Macaca fascicularis: one gene and its partners. The protein of the gene in region 2 interacts with the protein of the main gene of each other region in a pairwise test. Links are inferred from orthologs where the notes say so. Each region holds a gene or a part of one and is shown on either strand. Other genes may lie near its edges. The genes, in order: WTAP, VPS52, TEAD4, TSTD2, RNF41, RAB4A and TXLNA.

Region 1 (4,168 bases), about 130 Mb from region 2:
TAGATTCATAAAGACAATGAATATTCCAGGTTTTCAGAACAATCTACTGTCACATCAGAAAAACAGAATGACCATAACATCATTTGGAGTCAATTAAAATTGAATCCTGAAGGAAAATAATAAAATATGCTCAGTTCTTATGAGTCACACATTGAATAACAGCACTTTTCAAAGTCAAAGTTAGTTCCCATTTTCCAGGATGAAAATGACTGTGAGTCATTAGGTGATTAGCTATTAGGTGATTAAAACAACTATTAATAAATTGGGGTAAGGGTCTCAAATTTGGTGCCACCCAAAAAGGTGGTAACATGATTGACTAGTTTTATAACACGAAAAGGTTTCAGTTATTTATGTAGATAATTCAGAGATAATATATCTCAGAATATCAGGACAACCATCTACTCTTGATGTCTTAACATAGAAAAACAGCTTAGTATGGAGTTCAGTCTTGACTGGTTAGGTGCCTAAGATCCCAGATCCCAGTACCTTCCTGGCTCTCAGCATCATAAAGTCAGGTAACTCAGTTCCCTCTGAACAGAGGCAAGCGCCAGCCAACACAACTTCAGTAAGAAGACACAGTACCTTGGTGAAACAAATCATAGCTGAATGTAAGAAATCAATCTTCAGAAACTGTAGGAGCAAGGTACTGATGAGGAACTGAAAGGCCATCTTTTCCTTACCCTCTATCTGCCATACGTGATTCCAAGCAAGTCTTTTAACTCCTGCAGTTTCAAGTCAGCAAAAAGATAATTTTGCCTGCCTCACAAAGTGCTGCAAATATTAATGCTTTCAGCACAATAAAAATGCTACAAATAGATTTTTCAAACAAAATATGAACATAATATGAACATAAAAGGCAACTTCAACGTGCACTTAGAAAAGATTAAATTCTACTAACTGTATCTTCAAAGGCAGAAAATATTTATAGCACTATATTCTAGTTAGATGGAATACCGTTATACACAATGAAGTATACTATTGTGGAGATACTGAGAAGTTTTTCTGTGTTAAGCTTAGTAACTACAAGAAACAAAATATTTAGAGGCAGAAAGTTGGAGACAACTAAAAAAATTAAAAACACTATCATAGTCTTGTTTTGCTGAAGGACCTACTAACATACAATTTTGACGAGCAAGAAACAAATATATAATGATCTAAACTGCTAAACAATATATTCAAAGGGATTCAATACTACATACAAGACCACAGGGGACCTTGAACGCTTTACTGTACTGTACAAATTGTGACAATGCTCATCTCCACATCATAGGGCTTTTACATATTTTCTGTTTCATCTCTACCAGCTTATTTCTGACAAACAATACACAAAAATATTTTCAGCAAACATGACTCAACGTTGAATTGGAAAAGCTACACATAAAAGAGCCATGTAAAAATAAGCTGTGCCTGGGACACCCTATTATTATTACTTTTATCCTTTAGGAGTTAGACATTCTGGTAGCTTGTACAAATTCTGCCACTGAAAAAGTACGAAAAATACTGAACTTTTAAACTATGTGTCTGCTTAAGATACCTTAAGATCTAAAAGCACTGTAAGAAACACACCTATCCAAACCTGTAAAATGTAACCTCAACCTTATCACAAGCCAACCTGCGGACTTGCCTAATCAGATGCTACTTGAATGAATTAAAATGTATCCACCTTGAAAAGATTTTTCGCTCATAATTTTAAATTACGGTTTTAAATGACCACAACATGTTTATCGTAGAAAACTTAATGGTCAAAATTTTAAAATCCAAAAAACGAGACCGTGTGATGGATCTATGACGTCCACTTATCTTCCGAAGCAATAGAATTAACTAAAACTAGATAAAATAGGCACAAATACAACTTCTAACTGTAACATACTAATCGAAGTATTTCCCTACCAAACTAAACAGTTTTTTTTTTTTTTTTTTTTTTTTTTTACATAATCAGCTATGCTAGTCCTTGATAATGTTAAGCTAGTCCTTTGGGATCAACCAACCAAGTGACTTCCTTATCAAAACAAGAACTTGGCCTTTTCCACTACGTGTACACTGACTTATGAAAAAAGGTTAAAAAAATAATGTAGTAACTGTCTCACAGGGATCCAACGTAAGACTTGGATTTCACAAAAATCTGCAAATAATTCAGTTTCTTTCCTCAGAATACATGCACTCATTTAAAAATGGAAGTCTACAAGAGAACGTAGCTGCAGTAACATCCTACTGCGTGACATGAAATGTAGGGAACGAACGTTTCTTTTTTTCCTTGCTGAACTCGGGAGAGGCCCAAGGGAGGTGGAGGGAGCAACACCGAGGTGAGGAAAAAACGAGCGCCGCCGCTCAGCCCGCGGAGGGCATCCTCCGACCTCCGTGAGTGGCCGGTCTCTCCGGCCGCCGAAGCACCCCTCTCACCCCGGGCCCTGGGGACGGAGGACGGAGATAAAATGGCCTCGACGCGGCGGAAGTGTTCCCCGCTGGCGGGAAGGTAGAGCGGATAACGAGACTGGTGCCGCGCCGGGCCCGAGTGGCCTTTCGGGCCCTGCCAGCCTCTTACCGGCCGGGGGCGGCTGCGCCCCAACCCTCAGCCCCGGAGGTCCCCCGCGGCCGCTCCCGCCAGCCGGCCCGCACCTACCTCTTCAGGCAGAAGCCGCGCCGGCGCCGCCAGTCGCATAGGCCGAGGCCGCGCTGCTTGCCCTGCCGCCCGGGCCCCCCGGGCCCCCGCGCAGCCGGACAGCTCTGGCGCCTGCCCCGCCGCACTCCTAGTCCCGCCGCAACCCCAGCGCTCCCCTTTATTTGTGGGTCTCGCTGCCACAAAATGGCGCTGAGGGAGGAAACCAGGACCCGCCGCCCGGCCCCGCCCCGCCACCGGGCTCCGCTCCGCCCCGCCCCGCCCCACAGCCGGCCCAAACTCGCCGCAGGCCAGCGCCACTGCCTCCCGCCTCCCGCCAGCCTCCCCGCTCCGCCATGTTCGCGTTCTGGCCCACTCACAGAAGAGTCGCCTTTCAGGCGTGGCCGCAGTCACTCGCCCGCCGCCGGGCCCTGCCAGGAGAGGAAAGGTGAAGGGAGGGAGGCCGCCAGCCTAGCCCGATCGGGGCCTCGAGGCGCAATGGAGCAGCTGCTCCCCGGTAATACGCCCCGTCCTTGCCCAGGAGCCTGGCGCGAGCTCCGCGGGCGCCGGAGCTCAGCTAGCGCGGTAAGGGAAGCGGCCGAAGGGAGGGGCGGGCCAGCGAGGTCGGAGGTCAGCCCCGGGGCATCACGGGAAGGGAAGGTGGACGTACTCGCCGGGGCCACCTGCGGCTGCGGGGGCGGCCTCGTGCGGAGGGATCTGGGCGAAGGCGGCCCGTGATTGGCCGCTTTGTGTTCGCGACGCTCATCCGTGATGCTTCCGCGTGCCGGAGAACCAGGTGCCACCTCAGAAGAGAAGCGGTGGGCGGCGAGCCGCGGGCCTTTGCTCTTAGCAGAAGCTCACCTGTAAGTTTTGGGAACTTAGAATCCGATGTCCTCCCTCTCTTCAGTCGTGAGGCGCAGCCTTCTGGCCGCTGGGTTCGTTCCTCCTTGACATCTCTGGAGACGCATCAAGGAGCTATTGTTCTCCGGCGTCGGAGGTTGCGCTGTGTCCGCGGCGCTGAGGGCTCCTTGCTAACTCGAACGTGGGGAAGGCGGCCCTGTGAGGTTTAGTGAACCCAACCAAAGAGGTCCTGCAAGTGGAGTAGACTCCCTGAAGCAAGACTGCCATCTGGACCGCCGAGTAAGGGCGGTGTTACCTGGAGAAGCAGTCTCTAAACACTTACTAGAGGAGCACGTAGTTCTTTTGATTGGTCTGTCCTTAGCCGGCTTTCTCGAACCTGTTCATCCCCAAAGGAGTGTCTTGTAGTAGGGTGATCTATTAGGATAAGATTAAAGTACATTCCAGATGGCCATAGTGTGTTCCCAGTGAATCAGATCAGTCTGGAGAAAATCTTTGCAACTTGTATCACAAGAGCGCTCAAAAATTGAAAACAAAAAGTCCAAAAGCCAAAGGGGAAAATGGGGAAGCACATGAACAGATGATTCTCAGAAAAAATAGTCATTTTTTATGTTCTATGTAATTCTGTGTTCCTCATGAACATAGAAAGTCGCTCCACCTCACTTACAATGGAAATACACATTGAAATTGCCTTTCCTGGTGGGAATGGAAAAA
Region 2 (3,500 bases):
CGAGACTCCGTCTCAAAAAAAAAAAAAAAAAAAAAAAGAATGATGTAAGATCAGGTGTATAGTGGGAAGGTCCAGGAATAGAAAACTTTGTACATGTGTCCTGACTATATGGTACAGTGCAAGGTGGTAGAGATGATAGGAGCTGGAGGTAAGGAGTGTGGTCTGGGTCTGGTTTAGGGATGTCTGGGTTTCCCTTGTAACTTATCCCACCCCTTCCTGCTACCCAGGGCAATTCTGGAGGCTCCAGTGACAGAGCCCAGGTTCTTGGAGCAGCTACAGGAGCTGGATGCCAAGGCAGCTGCAGTCAGAGAGCAGGAAGCTAGAGGCACAGCAGCCTGCGCGGATGTCAGAGGCGTGCTCGATCGGCTCCGGGTCAAGGTGGGAAGTAGGGATGGATACCCTGGAGGCTACTAGAAGCAGCCCTCCCAAGATCTTCACTATGGATTTTCTTGGCAGAGCTCACTGTAGCCTGTCTCCAAGAACTTCACCCTGCCTTTTCTGGGCAGCCCCATTCTTGCCTCTCTGGGTTTCCTTGAAAATCTTGAGAAATACCAAAGAGATATGCACCACTTTTCAATCTATGTTTACCATTTGTTGCTTCCCCCAATTCCTCTCATACAGCAAAAAGGTTGCAGCTTCATGCTCTGTGCTTGGTTCCCCACATCTAGGCAGTGATGAAGATCCGAGAGTTTATCCTCCAGAAGATTTATTCCTTCAGGAAACCAATGACCAACTATCAGATCCCCCAGACGGCCCTGCTGAAGTACAGGTCACAACCCCAAGGAAGTGCATGGGATGGCCTTTGAGCTTTTGAGCAGCCTAATGGCATCTGGTTTCCTGGGAGACAGGTAGACTGACATGTTCCTGACCTCCTAGGTTCTTCTATCAGTTTCTGCTGGGCAATGAACGAGCAACAGCAAAGGAAATCAGGGATGAATACGTGGAGACGCTGAGCAAGATCTACCTGTCTTACTACCGCTCTTACCTGGGGCGGCTCATGAAGGTGCAGGTAAGGTCAGGAGGGAGAGGCATTCCTGGGCACGTGGACTGGGAGGAGGGGACATCCCTGGGCAAGGAATATTTTATTGTGTTGTCGGAAGAGACGGTTATCAGTTCTCTTTTCTGTTTTCTTAGTATGAGGAAGTTGCTGAGAAAGATGATCTAATGGGCGTGGAAGATACAGCGAAGAAAGATATCCTAGTCCTGGGGAACCCTCATGCCAGGTCTTGAGAGTGGGAGGACTTTCGGCTGCAGCCACCAAGGCACTGTTCCTTACCTTTTCCTATGGGACTGAAACCTTTTAGAATGTGATGAAAGCTATAGCCTCCCTCCTAAGAAAGATGCGTCATTTTGACACATAGTTTTGCATATGATTGCAGGAGGTGGGGAGACACCCTGAAGTCCGTTCACAGATGTCATCACGTGGGGCCCTAGTACTGGGAAAGAGGGCTGACTAGGCCATGTCTCGCTGTCTGGGGTCCCTGCAGATAGTGAGTCTTTGGGCCCAGTTATGGTCTCATTGTTTTCCCTGACTCTGACCCATCTTACGATTCTTCTCAAAGCCATCACTCCGCAGCAGGAACACCATTTTCACCCTAGGAACCCGTGGCTCTGTCATCTCCCCCACTGAACTTGAGGCCCCCATCCTGGTGCCTCACACAGCCCAGCGTGGAGAGCAGAGGGTATGAGGAGGAACAAGCTTCAGTCATGAAAGAGACTCTGAGCATGGAGGGAGGGAAGGCCAGACCTCAGGGCAGAGCTTCCCAACCTGCAGGCCCTGTCTCGATCCCCTTAGACTTGGGAGTGGCCTTCTCCAATCACTCCAGCCTGCTGTGATGTGAAAAGAGCTGGGAACCATTGACTTAAGGGCATGCAGAGGGGAGAGACTGGATGAGGGGAATGACGGTCAGAGGCAGGTGTTGAGGTGGATGCAGGAGTAGCAACAGCAGGTGGGTGTAGGCCCTTTTTGTACCCCTATGTTCCCCCACCTTTTCAGTGCCCATTCAGCTTGCTCTTTGACAGCCTGGACCTAGATGGATGCCAAGGGTCTGCCCAGCTCTTATTACCCAGGTTTACTGATTTTGCAGCCATATCCATGGGAAGTCAGTGTTGGGGTCCATCCCTTCTGTGTTTCTTCTTTACTTCTCCTCTCCCAGTATCCATTTGAGGCCCTCTTCCGCAGCCAGCACTACGCCCTCCTAGACAATTCCTGCCGCGAATACCTTTTCATCTGTGAATTTTTTGTTGTGTCTGGCCCGGCTGCACATGACCTGTTCCATGCTGTCATGGGCCGTACACTCAGCATGACCCTGGTAAGATTCCTATTTCCTGTACTATTCAACACCTTTGTCCCCAGTCTTCATCAGCAGCATAGTGGGGTCATGACTCTGGTAGAACTGAAATCAATCAGGATCCTCATTCTAAAATGTCTAAGCCTTGGCTGGGCATGGTAGCGCACGCCCATAATCCCAGCATTTTGGGAGTCTGAGGCAGTAGGATTGCCTGAGCTCAGGAGTTTGAGACCAGCCTGGCCTGTCTATGAAAAATAAAAAATTAGCCAGCTGTGTGTTGATGTATGCCTGTGGTCGTAGCTACTTGAGATGCTGAGGTGGAAGGATTGCTTGAGCCCAGGAGGTCAAGGCTGCAGTGAGCCATGCACTCCAGAGTGAGACCTATCTCTTAAAACAAAAAAAAGAAAAGCTGGGCACAGTGGCTCACACCTGTAATCCCAGCATTTTGGGAGGCTGAGGCGGGAGGATCTGTGAGTTCGAGACCAGCCTGACCAACATGGTGAAACCCCATCTCCACTAAAAATACAAAATTAGTCGGGCGTGCGCAGCCTGTAATCCTAGCTAATCAGGAGGCCGAGGCAGGAGAATTGCTTGAACCTAGGAGGAGGAGGTTGCAGTGAGCCAAGACTGTGCCACTGCACTCCAGCCTGGGTGACAGAGCAAGACTCCATCTCAAAAAAAAAAAAGTCTAAGCCTTGTTACTTAGACTTGTCACAGTGTTACTTCCCATGAAATCCTCAGAGTGTAGGGTCCCTGAGACTCCCCCTGCTGCTGCCCCACAATCAGAATCAGGCAATAGCACGTGAAAACTGAGGGTCCTCCAAACCCCTGACCCAAGCTCAGCCTGGAACTCTGCTGTGATAGGCTTGTGATCGTAGATCCTGCTGCAGCCAGGTGCAGTGGTTTACACCTGTAATCCCGGTACTTTGGGAGACCAAGGCAGGAAGATTGCTTGAGGCCAGGAGTTCAAGACCAGCCTGGGCAACATGGCAAGACCTTGTCTTGACAAAAAATTTAAAAATAAGCCAGGCATGGTGGTACACACCCATGGTCCCAGCTACTTGGCAGGCTGAGGTGGGAACATCACTTGAGCCCAGATGTTTGAGGCTGCAGTGAACTGTGATTGTACCATTGCAATCTAGCCTAGGTGACAAAGCAAGAACCTGTCTCTAAAGTCAAAAACGCCGGGCGCAGTGGCTCACACCTGTA
Region 3 (3,500 bases), on a different chromosome or scaffold from region 2:
TCCAGAATGTAACTCACTTTCCCAGTTGTCTCCTCTTATTCCCTCTTTCATACCTTTACCTACGGCTTCAACTTCACTCCAGAGCTCACTTCCTTCTGCCTTTACTACTCATGCACTCCTAGGCTGCAACAGCCTTGCCCATCTCTGCCAACAGATATGCCCATCCCTCAGGCTGGGGTCCAACTTCCATCCTGCTAGTTGAGCGCAAACGCTAAGTGTCTTGAAGGTCAGAGGCCATAGGTCTCAGTTCCAACACTTGTCCCTTCTGGAGACAGCCTGCCCCCACGTTCAGCTGTGGGTGACAGCCAGGCTGGGGGCTGCTCACTGGGAGCTGGCAAAGCCATCCGAACGTGTATGTAAACTTTGGTGTGAATACGCGTCTTTCTAGGAAAAGTAAAGCTTTCAGATTAGGAAAATGGCCTGGGAGCAAATAAATGGTAAGAATCTCTGCACAAGAGGCATCGAAAAGAACGTGTAAGGCCGGGCGTGGTGGCTCGCGCCTGTAATCCCAGCACTTTGGGAGGCCGAGGCGGGCGGATCACAAGGTCAGGAGATCGAGACCATCCTGGCTAACACGGTGAAGCCCCGTCTCTACTAAAAATACAAAAAACTAGCCGGGCGAGGTGGCAGGCGCCTGTAGTCCCAGCTACTCGGGAGGCTGAGGCACGAGAATGGCGTAAACCCGGGAGGCGGAGCTTGCAGTGAGCTGAGATCCGGCCACTGCACTCCAGCCTGGGCGACAGAGCGACACTCCGTCCCAAAAAAAAAAAAAAAAAAAAATACAAAACAAAATTAGCCGGGCGTGGTGGCAGGCGCCTGTAGTCCCAGCTACTGGGGAGGCTGAGGCAGGAGAATGCCGTGAACCCAGGAGGCGGAGCTTGCAGTGAGCCGAGATCGCGCCACTGCACTCCAACCTGGGCGACAGAGCGAGACTCCGTCTCAAAAAAAAAAAAGAAAAGAGTGTGCAGAGAGCTGAAGGGGAGTGGGGAAGAGGGATGCGGGCAGAGCCACCAAAACCTCAGTCCATGTCCTGAGAATATTCCAACCCTCAGTCACAGAGCCTGATTTCCTGTCCTTCCTCACTGCTGGCTTCATTAGCACTTATCTGTCTGACTCTCTCCTCGCACCCCTTTTCTGCACATACTGGGCCCGCAGGAAGCTAAGCTCCCAGGGCAGCTACTGTACCTCTGGGCCTCAGACAAGACGTTTCTAATGGAGGGGGTTCTACCCACAAAACACCTGCCCAGGGGTGAGGTGGGAGGGCCGCAGAGGCCAAGTCTATGGGCTGAGCTATCTGAGAAGTTGGGTGGGTGTTTCTTCTGGGGTGGCCTCGCCCATCCAACACTTCCCTCCCCTTCTCCAAGCTCTGTTCAGCCCAACATGCCTTGGACATGAGCACTGAAGGACAAGCTCCAGGCCCAGAAACCCATGCAGGACTTGTCATTCAAAGACCTGGGTGACAAGGGCGCTCCTCATAATGTCTTCACTCATCCCCGTAGGGTCCCCTTTGTCTTTTTCTGGAACTTCACCTCCTGAGGGCTCCACGTCTTGCCGGGGTTAGCTGCCATCACCACCCACGAGACAAGGCTTCATTCGACTAGGCCAGCTCTCTGGGATCACCGCCTTGTTCCTCAGCTCAGCTCTGACCACCCCATAGCCATGCTGGGCTTGCTCTCCCCTTCTCACTGGTGCCACCTCCCCAAGTTTCTACTGTGGCAAGGGCACGCTCTGGGTACTCTCGCCCCATTCTCACTACCACGGACGCCCTGGTGGTAGGAAGGAAGAGTTTATCACAGGCTTACCCAGAACTTCACGAGAAAAAAGGCATTGGAGGGTCCCCGTTCAAAGAGCTCCTTGAGTCCACCCTTTTTCTCCGGGAATTTGTCATAGATTTGGCGGATGTCCACGGCTTCGAGGTAGGGGTCGCTGTAGCTTGGGCTGGACTGGCCAATGTGCACGAACAGGTGCTTGTTGTACTGTAGAGAGAGTGGGTCTGAGGGAGGCGGAGCACAGGCCAGACGGTCAGACAGTCCCAGCTCTGCATGCCCACCACGTGACCCGGCGCAAGCCGCTTGGCCTTTCTGGACCATAGTTTCCCCGTAAGTGAAATGGAGATGGTAAAAGACTTCTTTTATTTTACATCCTGAACTTCTAAGAGTCTATTCGGTTCACAGGGTCGTCAGTTAAAAAGAAGTTTGAGCTGGGCACAGTGGCTCACACCTGTAATCCCAGCACTTTGGGAAGCTGAGGTTAGGAGTTCAAGACCAGCCTGGCCAACATGGTGAAACCCAGTCTCTACTAAAAATACAAAAATTAGCCAGGTGTGGTGGCGGGCACCTATAATCCCAGCTACTCGGGAGGCTAAGGCAGGAGAATCGCTTGAACTCAGGAGGCAGAGGTTGCAGTAAGTTGAGATCACACCACTGCACTCCAGCCTGGGCGACAGAGCAAGTCTCTGTCTCAAGAAAAGAAAAAAAAAAAAAGTTTGAAGATGTCAGAGTGAGAAGGGCCCTGGCATCCTGTCACGCTGGCCTCCTCCAGGTCCCCCTCTGATCTTTGCAGGTGACGCTGGTCACCCAGGACACTGGACACTGAAGGGGACAGGCTGGCATCCCGTAGGATGTGGAGCAGACGTACAGGAGACTCCCCAGCTTCCTGCCTGCCTCTCAGAGCCAGGGAAAGGCTGGGACAGTGTGGGGGTGGGGCTGGGACCACAGCGACCTTGGACTAAGGGTTGGTTGGGTTAGGAGGGGAGGAACACAGGACAGGGAGGGAGGAACAGGGCACTGGGCCAGGGAGGAGGGAAAGAGGGAAGGGGGTGACGTGAAGGAGGAAAGGAGTCGGGGGAAGGATGGAAGGAAAGACCATAAAGGAACAAGGAACTTGAATTAAGCCCCAGTGTGGAGTGGGACAAGAGCACTGGAAGCAGAAACAGAGGCAGAGGGGGTGGCGGGGAGCCAGCCAGGCACAGGCCAGGACCTACCGTGTCCGGGTCCTGCTGCTGCTCCAGGAAGGCTGAGAACTCCAACATCCAGAGCTTGGAGCTGGCCACGCTGCGGCCCTGCCACGGGGGTGCCGGGGGCGCAGAGGGCGATGGGGCGGGCCCTGCAGGAGACTCAAACCCTGCACAAAGTGAGAGAGGCACATGGAACCTGGTCACGGACACCCGCCCTGCCCGCACCCTCTGCAAGGACCCCCGGCCTCCTCGGACAGACCCGTGCTGCCTGGGGGGCCGCCTGTCTCCCTAAACGGACCTCCTAGCAGAGGTGGAGGAGAGAGTGCAAGGCTTGGGCATCCTGGAGCCTCTCTGGTGGGGAGGGGCTCGCCTGGTACAACTCAGGCCGCTCAGGACTCTGCATGGAACCGCCCAGCAAGACTGGATTCTGGAGGGCAACTGGGGTCCTGCAGGACCACGGCTTCCAGAACAGGCACTGTTCAGTTCCTGCTGTCCAGCAACTTCTGTTCCCGTCGGGGAAATAACCAGATGAATCAACTATCAC
Region 4 (3,500 bases), on a different chromosome or scaffold from region 2:
ACTCGCATTCCTCTTTAAAGTTGTCTTGCGTAGGGCCTGAAGCTTTCCTGCTCCCCTTGTCTTGACATGTGACACAACAGGCTGTGAATCCTTGTCCTTGACAGGCAGGGCAGGTCAAAACGAGCTGACGGCACTGGAGAGTGGAGCAGAGTTTATACTGGTCCCACTGGGCTCCACAGTATGAACACTCTGGGGAGGAAGGAAAACCATCATTATAAACACATGCGTTCACACACATGTGGACAGGCATTGCTCCCTCTGCTGACTAGAATCTCAAAGATCTGTGGAACCCGGGGAAGGTTTCCAAATAGTAAGTCTTCTGTCTTCCAGCAATAACAACCAACCACCACCCCCACCACGCAGCTTATTTTTTTGGGGGGGTGACTTCTGGGAACTGTCTGCTTCCAGTATTTACTTTTTTTTCCTTTTTCCCATCTAGAGAACAGGTGGTAACTAGATGGTAATGAAAGTTTCTCTCTCTCACCAGCTATTCCAAAGATGGCCAACCACCTCCCAACCCCCTTGTTAAGTGGCCTTCTCCCCTTTGATCATTCCCTTTTCCAGTGGGGACAACACACGTAAATACAGGCAATAACCCATCTACAGTAAGCATCTGCAGTCCACACCCCTCTCCCCGAGGCCTGCGTCTCTCCTGCTGTTGCTAGGACACTTGACCATCTGATTCCTAAAACTCACATCATCTTCTTTCTCCACCTGTTTTTCCCTGATGACCTTCTGTTACCACTTATAACATCATTCTTCCTCACTTTTCCTTACCTTGCTTATCTAAGCTACCTCTGAGCCTCTTCTCTCTCCTTCATACTCACACGCAGGTACCCATCGAGTCCAGCCAATATAACCTCTGTAAAATCAAATCTACTCTTTCTACTTGTTGAGAATTTATACTCCATCTAGCTCCAAAACAGATCAGAAGTAGTGATCAATAAGAGACAACTCAAAACCACTAAAATGAAAATAAGACCAAAAAAGTAAGGGAGAGGACAATCAAACTCAAATCTTACTCAAATGTGCATGCCACCTGTGTCCACAGAGAGCTAGGAGTTCCTACAATCATGTGTGCTATGGATTTACCTGGTAGTCTGGTGAAGCCTATAGATCCTGGCCTAGAAAAACTTTTTTGAGACAGGGTCTTGCTGTTTCGCCCAGGCTGGAGTACAGTGGCGTGATTTAAACTCACTGCAACTTCAACCACCTTGGCTCAAGCAATCCTCCTGCCTCAACCTCCTGAGTATCTGGTACACACCACCATGCTCAGCTAATTTAAAAAAGTTTTTGTAAAGACATAGTGAGCTATGTTGCCCAGGCTGGTCTCAAACTCCAGGGCTCAAGCGATCCTCCCACCTTGGCCTCCGGAAGTGCTGGGATTACAGGCATGAGCCTCTGTGCCAGACCAAGAAAAATATTTTTAAATGCATAAACATGTGAGATCACAAAGGAAACCAACTATACAGAAATACAAAATATCAAAGTATTTTTCAAAGTCTGTGATATAATAAGACGTGCCATTTATTAACATATTATATATCAACTGTTAGTGGTGGGCCTAATAACTATTTTCATATTGAAGCAGTGATGAGTATAAATACTATTTTGAGGTATCTGAGGCAACTGGAACATGATATGAAAGTACTGTAAATCCTACTGAAGACAAAGTCACAGGTACATTAATACAACTGGTTTTGTTGCCTACATTCATAACTGAAGGAAATACTTCATTTTAGTGAGGTGTTATTGAAAACAAAGATAAAATTATTTTCCCATCCAAATTCGCAGAACCCCTGAAATCTACATGTACCAGTTCCAGGTTAAGAGCCCTGAATTAGCCCAGTAGTCCAACTCTTGACAGGTAGACAGGCAGGCAGGCAGGGCAGGTGAGATGATCCCCATGTTAATAGGCTTGTCCAGCTAGGAATGGTGAAGCCAGAATCCCAACCCAGGTCTCCTGACTCCTGGGCTAGGGTTCTCTCAGCTGCACTGCTGGGAAGATGGTGGCACAATGTACTTATTTTCCCTGCTTATTCAGTGCTCAGTAATGAGCACTGGCCTGTCTTCTCTGTGTCATTTTTCTAGAATGGTGAACTGACAATGTGCTTCATTTCAGTTTGGGCTCGGAGCCCATGCTGACCTACCTGACACCACATCACTGTTGTAGGACAGAGCATAGCGTTCATCAAAAACAAACAACTTCCCTTTGTAAAAGCCATCAGGAAACTCTTCCAAGTACTTGTGGATGCCACCCTTGAGCTGGAACACCGCCTTGCACACTCCCTAGGTGTGGAAAAACAACAGGAAATCTGAAGAGCCAGCAGAGAGACCTGTTAAGATGCTCCACGGAAGAGCGGCGCATGGCGAGGAGCACTGACATGGAGGACTCATGGCCGCTGCTATCAGTTAGGGGCTCCTGGCTCCCACTGCGGTACACTAAGGAATTGCTGACCAAGGGGTCAAGGCACCAACTGGCTAGATCTTGCCTCCTAGTGGGATGGGTGATGAAAGTAGGCAGGGCCTTCACCCTCTAGATCCTGGGAAGCCCAACTATTTTTGCTGCCCCCTAAATATAGGAAGACACCTGTTGGGACATGTAATGTTACTGAATTTGCTCTTCTCAGGATCAAGCAAAAGGATTAGGAAAAGGGAGATGTTAACTAATCTCTCCCTTTTACATTTGATGAGTCTCTAAGACTGTTAAGTGTTTTTCATATCTTGAGATTAAAGATCCTCAGATTCTGTACTTATGAACTCCATGCAAGAGCCATACGAGGGGTGAAGGCATGCTTTGGCTGCTGGGGGTGGGGAGTACTGCGGGCAGCAGATAGCTCCACAGAGGCTGCTGGTGGAGCTGTCTCCTTCACCACCATGCCCACAGTGCCCCGGGGTGGTGGCTCACCTTGGCTTTGAGGTAGGCTGAACCCCGCTCACAGCGGATGCCCCCGGTGCAGTACATCAGCACTCTCTTCTCTCTGAAAAGTTCTAGGTTTTTGTCAACATAGCTAGGGAAGTAACTGAATTTCCTGATGTCTGGGGCTAAGCAGCCTTGGAATCGTCCCTGTAACATAGGAGCAACAAAAGGAAAATTATCACAAAAACATACCTGGTAGGAACAAAGGTTCTTTTTGTACCCAACAAACCCTACCTTAGCAAAGAAGCCCCTGCCAGTTGCTAGTCTCATCCCCACTCTGACCTTTCAACTTCAAGATCTGAACTTGAAACCGAGGCTGGTGGCTGTGGGTCACCTTCCTAGGGTCCTCAGGGGAACTGGAGAGGCTGCCGAAAGGCAACTTTGCAAGATCCTTGATACATGCCAAAGGCAGGCTCATGGGAGTCACTAAGTATGTTATGTGCCTAGATGTCTTTAATTCATATTTTCTTAGACTCTCTCACCAGATTCTGAGTTTTAGGACTTGGGTTTTCTCTGAAGCTGCTAGTACTGGCAGGAGATCCATGTGGCCACAGGTGGGCACACACAAGGTCCCCTTGGG
Region 5 (2,825 bases), on a different chromosome or scaffold from region 2:
TCTTTAACCACCTCCACACAGGTGGGTGAACTCCCTTCAGCCAGCAAGAGTGACCCGCTGGGGAGGGATGATCTCGACTCCTGATGCCGTGCTCCAGGCTGTAATCAAGCGCTCCCTGGTGGAGAGTGGCTGTCCTGCTTCTATTGTCAACGAGCTGATTGAAAATGCCCATGAGCGTAGCTGGCCCCAGGGTCTGGCCACACTAGAGACTAGACAGATGAACCGACGCTACTATGAGAACTACGTGGCCAAGCGCATCCCTGGCAAGCAGGCTGTTGTCGTGATGGCCTGTGAGAACCAACATATGGGTGATGACATGGTGCAGGAGCCAGGCCTTGTCATGATATTTGCTCATGGCGTGGAAGAGATATAGGAGAACCCGACCAGCTATCAGGAAGAGATGGAAATCAGAAAATCCCATCACTCCAGCAGCTGGGACCTGAGTCCTCTCCACCATCCTTAATACTGTGGCTTATACCTGAGCCACACATCTCACTGCCCTTCTGGCACTGAAGGGCCCTGGGGTAGTTTGCTCAGCCTTTCAGGTGGGAAACCCAGATTTCCTCCCTTTGCCATATTCCCCTAAAATGTCTATAAATTGTCAGTCTGAGTGGGAAAGCCCCCACCTCCATCCATTTTCCTGCTTAGGGTTCCTGGTTCCAGTTATTTTCAGAAAGCACAAAGAGATTCAATTTCCCTGGAGTGTCAGGACAGAGTAAGGAATCTCTAGTCGTCCCTCTCCTCCAAAACCAGGGAATCAGAGCAGGCAGGCCTGTTGACTCTAAGCAGCAGACATCCTGAAGAAATGGTAAGGGTGGAGCCAAATCTCTAGAAATAAGTAGTGAGGCCAGTAATTGGCCATCACGGATGGCCCTTAGGGGAAGACTGGACCTCTGTGCCAAGCAGTATCCCTGTTCAGTCCACCTTAAAGGTGCAGGCACCCACTGGGTCTACCAGTATGCAGGTTGGGATACTGAAAATTTCCAGATGAGCTCTTCTTTCCTATAAGTTTTCATAATTAGGGAATGCCAGGGTTTAGGGTAGGGGTTAGTCTGTTGGGGTTGATGTGTTCAGCAAGAAGCTACTCCTAGCTTTTGCTAAAATATGGTCAGCACTGCCTCTTGTGGCACAGGCCATAATTGTTCCATAGAGCCCTCTCTAGCCCTGTGACTGTAGTTAGTTACTTTGATAATTTTCTTTGGCCATTGTTTATATTTCACAAACTCCACCTACTTCCCCTCCCCTTCCCCCTTTTTTTTTAAGAATGGCCTGATCATGGCTATCTCAGCCACATTGTTGGCAATTTAATTTATTTACCTTTTTTTTTTTTTTTTTTAAAGAAAGGAAAAAAGAAAAAAAATCAAACTTGAAACTTTTGATGTTCCTATTGTGGGGATTTTGGATAGGGTGGGACAGGGATGGGGGTGTGTTTTATATTTTTTCCTTTTCAGCACAACCTTTGGCTTTAATATAGGAAGAGCCAAGGGAGTCCTCGGCTGAACTTACAATATCTGCCCCAAACCTCTGTAACCCCAACTGAAATGAGGAGCTTCCTCTATTCCTGTGAAGGATATGACAGTCCAGCATCGATGCCTGTGCCCTCTGGAAAAATTTCCTCCTAGCCCTTCCAGGGCCTCATCATAAAACTCTGGATTTAGAGTATTCATTTTGAAGGCAACCCCCCGCTTCCCCAAGTTTTCTTGGAGCTGTATAGCTGGGTTCTAAGCTTCACCATGCAAATCAGAAATTTTATCTCTAAGTACAGGCTGTGCTGTGTCTCACCCACACCCCCCGGGGACTTCAGTTCCATTTCAGGTTACCTGGGGCATACCTTGATCCCTAGAGTGACTGGCAGAGTAAGTAAGAGAAGGGGAGGGATAGTAGGTGTGATAATTTTAATATGGAGGTGGGAGTGTGGTTGGAGATAGAAAGTCTCCTCCCCACCATGTGATAGCTTCCTCTCAGAGTTTTATTCCAGGCTAGCTTGCTGCAGGTCTGGGTAGTTGGATCATGGCTCCACTGGGATTGGGGTGGAGGGATACAGCTTGAGGGGAGTAGGGTTCCAGCTCCGGGACATTGTGCTCAGGAATTTGAAAACGCTGCTATACTTATTCTGGTTACTACATTTCTTCCAATCCCCTTTCCCCTACCTGCCTTACCAAGGCTTATACTGTCCTGTCCTTACCCTCAGATGGAGCCAGGAAGCTCAGTGAAAGGCTTCCCTACCCTTTGCACTAGTGTCTCTGCGGGTTGCTGGTTGTGTTGTATGTGCTGTTCCATGGTGTTGACTGCACTAATAATAAACCTTTTACTCAACTCTCTAAATTCTTCAACATTACTCCCTTTCCTGGGAAGGTTTCCCCTCTGCTTTTGCCTTTCTCTCACCTTAATTCCCCTTCTTCCTTACTTTGTTACCTACCCTTATCTTAGCGCTAACTTCTCTTTCAGGAGGATGTCTGGGAGTAGTGTGCACTTCGCAGCTGCTTTCCCATGTACCCTCCTGCATTCTTCCCTCCTATCTCCTGTTCTGTAGCAGCCAAAGGTGTCTCTCTAGTTATCTGAACTGTGTGCTTCCCAGGGTCTGCCTTCATCCTAAATTCCATGTCTTCCCTGAGTGGTCCTGAGTTTTTGGGATAATTTCTACAGAAAATATGTATATATTGTTTTCCTTTGTCCCACAAGCAACTTTGCTTTAGAATCTAGAATTCCTTTGCAGGCAGAGAAGCCTCCACCCTCCAGTGTTTCCTAACTAAGAACGTAAATGTAAGGAGGGAAATGTACTTGCAGAGGTTTCATAATTATTTACTTACAAAGATAGTCTTCAT
Region 6 (3,500 bases), on a different chromosome or scaffold from region 2:
AAAATCTAGCAAAGAGGGAGAGATTGACAATGTAAGGGAAATCGTGTGACCGAAAGACGCCTTCAACGAAAGACGCCTTCTTGAATGTGAGAGTGGGTATGACATGCTGGCACACTCAGTTTCCCCATGGTGATGGGGCAGGGATGCAGATGGGTGCAGGGCCATGGTGACTATGGATTCCACCGCCCCGAGAGGTGGCGAGAACTGGAAGAGATGGAGAGAGCTGTGCCAGGGAGTGGGGTAGATGAGGAGCCCACAGAGAAGCGAGTGGATTGCTGAGCCCCTTAGTGACCATCTAGGCGGTGGTGCTGGCTTCCGCCTGCAGACAGCTCACCCTGCTAGGGGTTCTCAAAGGAGACATCCATCAGAGAGCTGCATCCGCTTTGAAGGAATCTCCTACTTGTCACGGTGATGTGATTTCAGTCAGAGTAACCCCTCTCACGTATGTTCAGGTGTCTTTGAATCATTTCTCTTTTAAACCGGCGTCTGTCCCTGTGCCGTGGTTTACAGAGCAAGTGTGGGTGTTTTTTCATGGGAAGGTGGGATACGGTAAAGGGTCTCCATTGGTTGAAAGTAAAACCAGTGTAATTCTTCCAGGTCCGTGACGAGAAGTTATTACCGAGGTGCGGCCGGGGCTCTCCTCGTCTATGATATCACCAGGTAATGCCAGCTCCCCGTGGTGAAGGAGGCTGCTCAGTGCCCTGCAGCCCAAAGGCTGGTCTTGGCAAGGTGCCTTCCGTGCAGTGTGTGCTTTGTGTGTCTGGGGACGGTGGTGTGGCTGGCATCCAGGAAGCCCCTTAGCCCTTCCATCTGGGGTCTCAGAGGTCTTTGAACAAGCCCCTACCACTGCTTTCCCATGCAGAGAAATGTATTCGTAAGGTTTTAGGTAGATGAAGCAATCTGTCTTATTGCATTATGTTTCTTGACATGATGCTTGGACACTTTCCTTAAGGTTCACAAAGCTTTATGTACGGTAAGTTATTAGAAGTGAGTTGAGAGAGGGCGAGGACACAGACGCTGGGCTGAGATTGCTTGGTTCAAATCCCAGTTGCAGTCACTAGCTGAGTGACCCTCTCGGGCCAGCTGCTTCAGCTGCCTGGGCCTTAGTTTTCTTGTCTGTAAGATGGAGGTAGTAATAATCCCATGATCCTCAGGAGGTCATTGGGAGATTTAAATTAGTTAATGTGAAGCACTTAGATAGTAGCTGTTTGTGACATATGGCAATTTAACTGAAATAAAATAAAAAATTCTGTTCCTCGATTGCACTGGCCACATTTCAGGTCCTCAGTAGCTACACGTGGCTGGTGACTACCATATCAGAACAGATTATAGAACATTCCTATCCATGAGGAAATTCCATTCGACAGCGCTGATCTGAGTAGCACTATCTCAGAAGCGCGTCATCTAAATGGCATCACCTGGGAGCCCTTTCTGGGTAGGAACCTGTCCAGTGAGAGGCTGTCGGTCAGCCGCTTCCCTCCTCCAATCTGTGTCCCTGGAGACAGGCATTCTGAGAGGAAGCAGGCAGTTTCTGGCCCAGCACTTCCTGCACTTGCCCCAGCAGTGAAAGGCTCTGCCTGCTAAAGTGTGAAGTCATCAGTCAGGCTAGCAAAGTGCCATGAGAAGAACTCGGTCCTTAGACACATGAGGGCCAAAAATAGTAAGTCTGAGAGTTGGTTCTGGAGCCAGACAGAGCTGGTCAAGTCCTGGCTTTGCCACTGGCTGCTGTATGACCTAGGGCAACGTAATTAATCTCTCTGGGCCTTGGATTTCTCAGGGAAAAGGAGAATAATGGCAGTCTGTGTCATGGAATCCTTATAAAGAATCAGTGTGATAAAGTTCTGTAAAACAAAGTGCTGGCACATTGCAAGGATTCATTAAGTGGCAGCAGTTAGCTATGAAATCTTGCCTACCACAGTCTAATACCTTGCACATGCTAAGAGCTCAGTAGATGTCAAATGAATGAAGGAATATATCTTTCCTTTTGCTCCATGACTGGGCAAACAAAAAATGACAAAATATCTGACTTACTGTCTCATTTTACCAGAAACAAAACGAAACAAACTCTGTGGATATGGTATATGTTTGGTGTATTCACGTTGTCTGAGTTACCTTAAAGGTGTTGGTGCCATTACCCTGAAATGTTGAAAAGCGGTGTGAGTAGTGAGAATGACTGGAAAGAGTTGCTAGTTTTATAAAATACATGTATTATTTTCACAATCTTATATTACGCAGCCGAGAAACCTACAATGCGCTTACTAATTGGTTAACAGATGCCCGAATGCTAGCGAGTCAGAACATTGTGATCATCCTTTGTGGAAACAAGAAGGACCTGGATGCAGATCGTGAAGTTACCTTCTTAGAAGCCTCCAGATTTGCTCAAGAAAATGGCAAGTGACCTTTTACTTCTTACTATTTTTCAAATGGCATATTTGAGGATAAAAGCATTTCTTTGAATTTAAAACATATATTGGAATTTCGAGATCAAACTAGATTTAGGAAATGTGGAATTTCCAATTGTTTTTACTATAAATTAGACCTGTTTAGCATATTGTTAGTGTATTGCATTCTGCCTGCAGAAGTTACTATAATGATAAAAGCAAATGTAGTAACATTATGTAATGACTTTCCAGTCGAAGGTCTTTGAATATTAGAGATCTTGGGCTAAAGTGAAATTTATAACAATAATCTTTAAAGACTCTAACCAAATGATGTCATTATTTTTTAATGTCTTTTGAAGGAAATTTGGTGAAGTATTAGCCCAAATAGAAAGGGAAGCAGAAGAAATACTTGGCTTATTGGCTTCATTTGCTAAACTTAAGTCATTTGGTTATAGGTGACTTTGAAACTTTTTTGAATTTCCATGTAGAATACGTGAAAATGCCACATAAAATTAATGGTTGCTTTATTAATGGATAAGAGAATGATTTTTTAAAAATTCAGACATTTTAAATAACTTTAATTTTTAGAACCAAAGACTATAATATGCTAATATCAATATTTGATTGGACTCTAAGATTCCAAATTATATTGTAACTTTACTAGTTTCTTGCTAAGAAAATAAACAGAGAAATCCATACGCCATCATGACAGTTTTTAAAAAACTGTTTAGAAATCAGAAGTTTGGAATGTTAACAAAGATGAAAAGGAATTTAGATGTCATCTAAACTCATTTTTACAAGTGAGGATACAAGAGGCTAGCGAGGCTGTGGTTTGCTGAGAGAGCAAGCAGAACAGGCCTTTCTGCTGAGATGAACAGCCACTCTAGTGGGCAGAAAGAATACTGATTCCTGTACTCTCTCTTCATGGGCTGTATGACAAACTGCAGTATAGTCCCCTAAAAAGTGTAAACACTTGTAGGTCATATTTGTGGTGACACTCAGATTGTTTGAAGGAGGACATTGCAACTTTGCCTGAAATCAGTGGCAGGGCCATTTTGGCGAGCCAGCTCCTTCCTGATGGCTGGTCACTCAGCTGGGGAAGCCTGGTGGCTTGCTCAG
Region 7 (4,056 bases), on a different chromosome or scaffold from region 2:
GACTCCGTCTCAAAAAACAAACAAACAAACAAAAATAATTAAAAAAATAAAAGAAGGCTGGGCACGGTGGCTCACGCCTGTAATCCCAACACTTTGGGAGGCTGAGGCAGGCGGATTACGAGATCAGGAGATCGAGACCATCCTGGCTAACACAGTGAAACCCCGTCTCTACTAAAAATACAAAAAAAAATTAGCCGGGCGTGGTGGTGGGCACCTGTAGTTCCAGCTACTTGGGAGGCTGAGCCAGGAGATTGGTGTGAACCTAGGAGCAGATCTTGCAGTGAGCCGAGATCGTGCCACTGCACTTCAGCCTGGGTGACAGAGCGAGACTGTCTCAAAAAATAAATAAATAAATAAATAAAAATAAAAGAAGCCTGCACCCAGCCTGCAGTTTTGCCTGCTCTCAGTTGGCTAGTTGAGAGCAACTAATCAGGAAGCAGTAAAGTCTTTGGATAAAGTAGCCTACATCTTCATGTGGCCCCATGGCCAGCCCAGCTTATGCAGACATTTGGGTTTTCAACTCCAGCCTAGTCTAATTTTCTTACTGTAAAGAGAAGTATAAACTAAGACCCAGAGAGGAGAAGGGACACACCCGAGATCACACAGCAGGTAGTACTGGCTGGCACAGGAGCCCACCCTGGCCTCCCATCTCCATTTTCTCAAAGAGAGAACAGGTCCCATTCCAACCCCCAATTGCTCCAAAAGCCAGAAGGCCTTGTGCTGGGAACCCCTGCATCTCTCTATGCCGTGGCCCCCACATCCCTGGCTTTGATTACACTAGAGTGACTTGCTGTTCTGAGAAGTACCGTTTTCCTTTGAATCCTGGCGGAACAGACTGGTCCAGAGAACGTCAAGTCCAAACTCCCTCCCCTCACCAGCCTCACAAAGAGCCACCCTCTGCTCACCCAAACCCTTGGCTTTTTTCTTCTCCTGTGGCCTTCGGTGGTCTCGGTCTCCGACCTCATCACTCTGCCGGATCTCTTCTGTGCCTGGATCCCCCTTGGAGGGTTCCTTCTCTCCATTGACTACTGGAGTTGGTTCAGGCTCCCCATTCCTTGCCACATAGGTCCGGGACTTCTCTGCATCTTCGGGTTCAGCTGGCTCACCCTGTGCCCCATCCTCGCCAGGCCCCCCCTGGTTACTGTCCACACAGTATGTGCTCAGTATGTCTTCCAATTGGCGACTCAGCTCCTCAGAGACATCACGAAGGGCCCCAGACTGAGCCGTTTTGGCTTGAGCCCCTACAGCAGGAGAGGATGAGGGGTAGAGTGAGAAACAAGACAAATTATACCACTGGTTGGGAATTTTCAGGTCCAGCCAAACTCATCAGTTTGAGTTAAATGTTGCCTAACTTTTCTTTTTTTATGGAAACTGAGAAGCAAGAATGGAGTATTATTCAGCAAATCTAGTTCCTGTCAGAATTTAAATTCGAAACATCTTTTGAATCAAGAAATTATAGTAATATAATATAGTTAAGCTTCACTTCTGTTTACTTGTAAAATGACACAACTATTTCTCACTACCACTCGAACATGTTTGTTATGATCATAAAAGTATGTAAAGCATCAGCACACAGGGATGGCATGGTGCAACTTCTAGTCCATCTCCTTCCCCCTCACAAAACCATTTTTTACCATTCAGATCATTCTAGAAATGCCTCAAACAGGAAGGGCAGTTAGCTGCTAGTGGCTGAGGTGTTTCAAACCGGACCTGGATTTCCTGACTGGGTGCCCCGTTTGGCTGCCACCTGACTTAATCCCGTTAGAGGTTCTCTCCAGAACTCTGTTCCTGTGCTTACAGGGAGCGGCTCCGCCAACTCGCCAGAATTCGGGGGTGACCGCGGCCCCAGCACTGTCCTCTCATTCTATATTCCCTCCTCCCGGACAACCTGGCTTCGGCCTCTAAGTCCAGAAGCGAGGCCGGCCCCACAGCTCCACCCCCTGCCCGCTGGCAACGCAGAGCTGGCACACACCCTCCGGCTTCCGAGGAGCCTGGCTGCTGCCGGGACCTTCTGCTTCTGCTGCAGGAGCCGCCTGGCTGGGCCGCTCCTGGGCTCCCTCGGGTCCTGCTTCCGGTTGTCCCGGGCTGCTTTTTGGGTTGGATTGTTTGGCAGCCCCGTTCTTTTTGTCTTGGTTCTTCATTGTGATGAGAGATGCTGGGTCAGGAGAAGATCCTTTAGAAACAAACACAGTTGCTATTTTCCAGACTTCGAAATTCTTCGCAGCCTGGATCAGAAAATCCCCACAGCAGGCGCACGAAGCTTCTTAAACGGACCGGCCGGCCCTGGCAGAGGGCGCCAACGGCTCTCGGGTCTTGGAGGGTCAGGGGAGCCCGGCGTGCCGGGACAGGCTTTCGGGGCGCAGCTCCCGCAGCGGGTGAGGGAAGGGGCCTCTTTTCTCCCTGGAGCCACTTCTCTACACAACCGGCCCCCTCGCGGCAGGCCGGGCCCGGGATTGGCTCAGGGCCGGAGACTGACGTGGCGGGACTCCCGGCGCCGGCGCCGCCCCCGCCCCTCAGGCCCCACGTGCGCCCCCCGCGCTCGCAGCCACCCACGCCCTGCGCGCCCTGCAGCCTCGAGGCACGCCCGCGCATGCGCACCCCCCCCCCCCCCAGGCAGGCCACCCCCCCTCCCCCCGTCCCGGCCGCCGGCCCACGCGCGGAGTTGGCGTGATTTCCCCACAGGCCGAGAACATCCCGGCCCGCACACCCTCAAATAGTCTCGCCCAACGGCTGCCACGGCACGTACCTCACCGCCGACGTCCGACGGCTTCCCCAGCTCTGGCCTCGCACCGGAAACCCCGAGTAACCGCTGCCGGCGAGCCGCCTGCTCCCGCCTCAGCCAATCAATAGCCGGCGCCGGCGCGGAGCTTGCTGGGAAGGACTAAGCGAGGGCGGCCTCGGAGGCGGGCGCGCCGGGAGGGCGGGGCAGGGAAAAGTCTACGCGTTCCTCCGTACGCAGGGGCTATCCGCAGTCCCGAAGTGCATAAGGGGCTGTAGTCCTCAGAGTCCAAAAGGAGCCCGTCATTCTGCACGAGTGCCCACGTCAACCTTGTTTCTATCTCGCAGAAGCTATGTTTCAACTCCCGAAGGCTTTGCGCCTGGCTATTGTTTCCTGCAGGCCTCCATCAAACCTTCCTCCCTGGCCGTGAACAAATGTGACTCCATCCAGGAACTCCGAGGACTCGGGAAGAGGGATAAGAGTCCTGAACTGAGACTCAGGAGACCCACACTCCAGTCCCAATTTCATCACGGATTTGCTGTGTGGCTGGACGTTCTTTTCTCTCTCTGGGCCTCGATGTCCTTCTTCCGAAGGAGGCTTTTAATAACAATAACAGTTCCTTGAACGCTTACTGTGTGCTTTCCCAGTATCTAATAGCTTGGTTCTCATAACCACTCATAGAAATAACTACTATCTGTTATCCCCATTTTACGGAAAAGGACAGTAAGAGAAAGGTTAGGTAACTTGTCCAAGGTCACATGGATAGTGAGTGGTTAAAACAGGGATTCAAAACGTAAGTCTGACACCAGCACCCAGGTAACTATTCGGCTACCCTGTCTTTTACCCAGAAGAAACACTACCACAGCAGGTTTCCCTGAGGCAGTCAAGGTAACTTGTGAAAGTAGGTCATATTTTCCCCTCTCCATTACCGTTTTGGCAGTCAGTTCCTCAGGAAGGTGCTGAGTCAGGCTTCAGGCATATTCATGAGCCTTTTCTCTACCCCATACTCTACGAAGTCTCACTGGGGTTAAAGTAGAAAAAAACCCCACAATTCTCTACACGTGAGATCACAATTCTGTATCCTCATTGTTTCTGGATAATGAAGTCAAACCCAACAATCCTTGTGCCTAGAATTTGAAGCCTAAGAGGTTTGGCTTTTGCCAAACCCAAAATTTTTTGAGGCCCAGTTCAAAGGTCACTTCAGAGCCTTCCCAGTGCTCTGCAATCCGTACTTGCTCCCTAGGTCTGCAGAGTTCTGTTACAGCATTAGCAGTGAGGTGTTGAAATTACTATTTGCTTATAAGTCAGTTAATTTTGCAAGAACTGTTGGCTAAATA

The links.
Region 1: the proteins of VPS52 (region 2) and WTAP interact in binary tests that used the Homo sapiens proteins (3 or more experiments, as listed by UniProt). The two-hybrid records come from large-scale screens. The link is inferred for Macaca fascicularis from reciprocal best matches to the Homo sapiens genes VPS52 and WTAP.
Region 3: the proteins of VPS52 (region 2) and TEAD4 interact in binary tests that used the Homo sapiens proteins (3 or more experiments, as listed by UniProt). The two-hybrid records come from large-scale screens. The link is inferred for Macaca fascicularis from reciprocal best matches to the Homo sapiens genes VPS52 and TEAD4.
Region 4: the proteins of VPS52 (region 2) and TSTD2 interact in binary tests that used the Homo sapiens proteins (3 or more experiments, as listed by UniProt). The two-hybrid records come from large-scale screens. The link is inferred for Macaca fascicularis from reciprocal best matches to the Homo sapiens genes VPS52 and TSTD2.
Region 5: the proteins of VPS52 (region 2) and RNF41 interact in binary tests that used the Homo sapiens proteins (3 or more experiments, as listed by UniProt). The link is inferred for Macaca fascicularis from reciprocal best matches to the Homo sapiens genes VPS52 and RNF41.
Region 6: the proteins of VPS52 (region 2) and RAB4A interact in binary tests that used the Homo sapiens proteins (3 or more experiments, as listed by UniProt). The two-hybrid records come from large-scale screens. The link is inferred for Macaca fascicularis from reciprocal best matches to the Homo sapiens genes VPS52 and RAB4A.
Region 7: the proteins of VPS52 (region 2) and TXLNA interact in binary tests that used the Homo sapiens proteins (3 or more experiments, as listed by UniProt). The two-hybrid records come from large-scale screens. The link is inferred for Macaca fascicularis from reciprocal best matches to the Homo sapiens genes VPS52 and TXLNA.

What each region holds. Positions count from the first base shown.
Region 1 is NC_088378.1:11,259,235-11,263,402, forward strand, and holds the start of WTAP (pre-mRNA-splicing regulator WTAP), read right to left. Parts: upstream 2,801-4,168; 5' UTR 2,660-2,800; coding exon 2,621-2,659; exon of another isoform or gene 2,158-2,620; intron 1-2,157. UniProt on the Homo sapiens protein: Associated component of the WMM complex, a complex that mediates N6-methyladenosine (m6A) methylation of RNAs, a modification that plays a role in the efficiency of mRNA splicing and RNA processing.
Region 2 is NC_088378.1:138,434,954-138,438,453, forward strand, and holds part of VPS52 (vacuolar protein sorting-associated protein 52 homolog), read left to right. Parts: intron 1-227; coding exon 228-378; intron 379-668; coding exon 669-769; intron 770-876; coding exon 877-1,009; intron 1,010-1,134; coding exon 1,135-1,192; intron 1,193-1,548; coding exon 1,549-1,682; intron 1,683-1,795; exon of another isoform or gene 1,796-1,949; intron 1,950-2,156; coding exon 2,157-2,312; intron 2,313-3,500. UniProt on the Homo sapiens protein: Acts as a component of the GARP complex that is involved in retrograde transport from early and late endosomes to the trans-Golgi network (TGN).
Region 3 is NC_088385.1:3,905,657-3,909,156, reverse strand, and holds part of TEAD4 (transcriptional enhancer factor TEF-3), read right to left. Parts: intron 3,124-3,500; coding exon 2,984-3,123; intron 1,977-2,983; coding exon 1,803-1,976; intron 1-1,802. UniProt on the Homo sapiens protein: Transcription factor which plays a key role in the Hippo signaling pathway, a pathway involved in organ size control and tumor suppression by restricting proliferation and promoting apoptosis.
Region 4 is NC_088389.1:60,520,294-60,523,793, reverse strand, and holds part of TSTD2 (thiosulfate sulfurtransferase/rhodanese-like domain-containing protein 2), read right to left. Parts: intron 3,068-3,500; coding exon 2,909-3,067; intron 2,290-2,908; coding exon 2,151-2,289; intron 190-2,150; coding exon 1-189.
Region 5 is NC_088385.1:62,991,851-62,994,675, reverse strand, and holds the end of RNF41 (E3 ubiquitin-protein ligase NRDP1), read left to right. Parts: intron 1-21; coding exon 22-373; 3' UTR 374-2,325; downstream 2,326-2,825. UniProt on the Homo sapiens protein: Acts as E3 ubiquitin-protein ligase and regulates the degradation of target proteins. Polyubiquitinates MYD88. Negatively regulates MYD88-dependent production of pro-inflammatory cytokines.
Region 6 is NC_088375.1:19,811,121-19,814,620, reverse strand, and holds part of RAB4A (ras-related protein Rab-4A), read left to right. Parts: intron 1-597; coding exon 598-660; intron 661-2,235; coding exon 2,236-2,390; intron 2,391-3,500. UniProt on the Homo sapiens protein: The small GTPases Rab are key regulators of intracellular membrane trafficking, from the formation of transport vesicles to their fusion with membranes.
Region 7 is NC_088375.1:202,849,163-202,853,218, forward strand, and holds the start of TXLNA (alpha-taxilin), read right to left. Parts: upstream 2,801-4,056; 5' UTR 2,747-2,800; intron 2,176-2,746; exon of another isoform or gene 2,174-2,175; 5' UTR 2,142-2,173; coding exon 1,973-2,141; intron 1,242-1,972; coding exon 906-1,241; intron 1-905. UniProt on the Homo sapiens protein: May be involved in intracellular vesicle traffic and potentially in calcium-dependent exocytosis in neuroendocrine cells.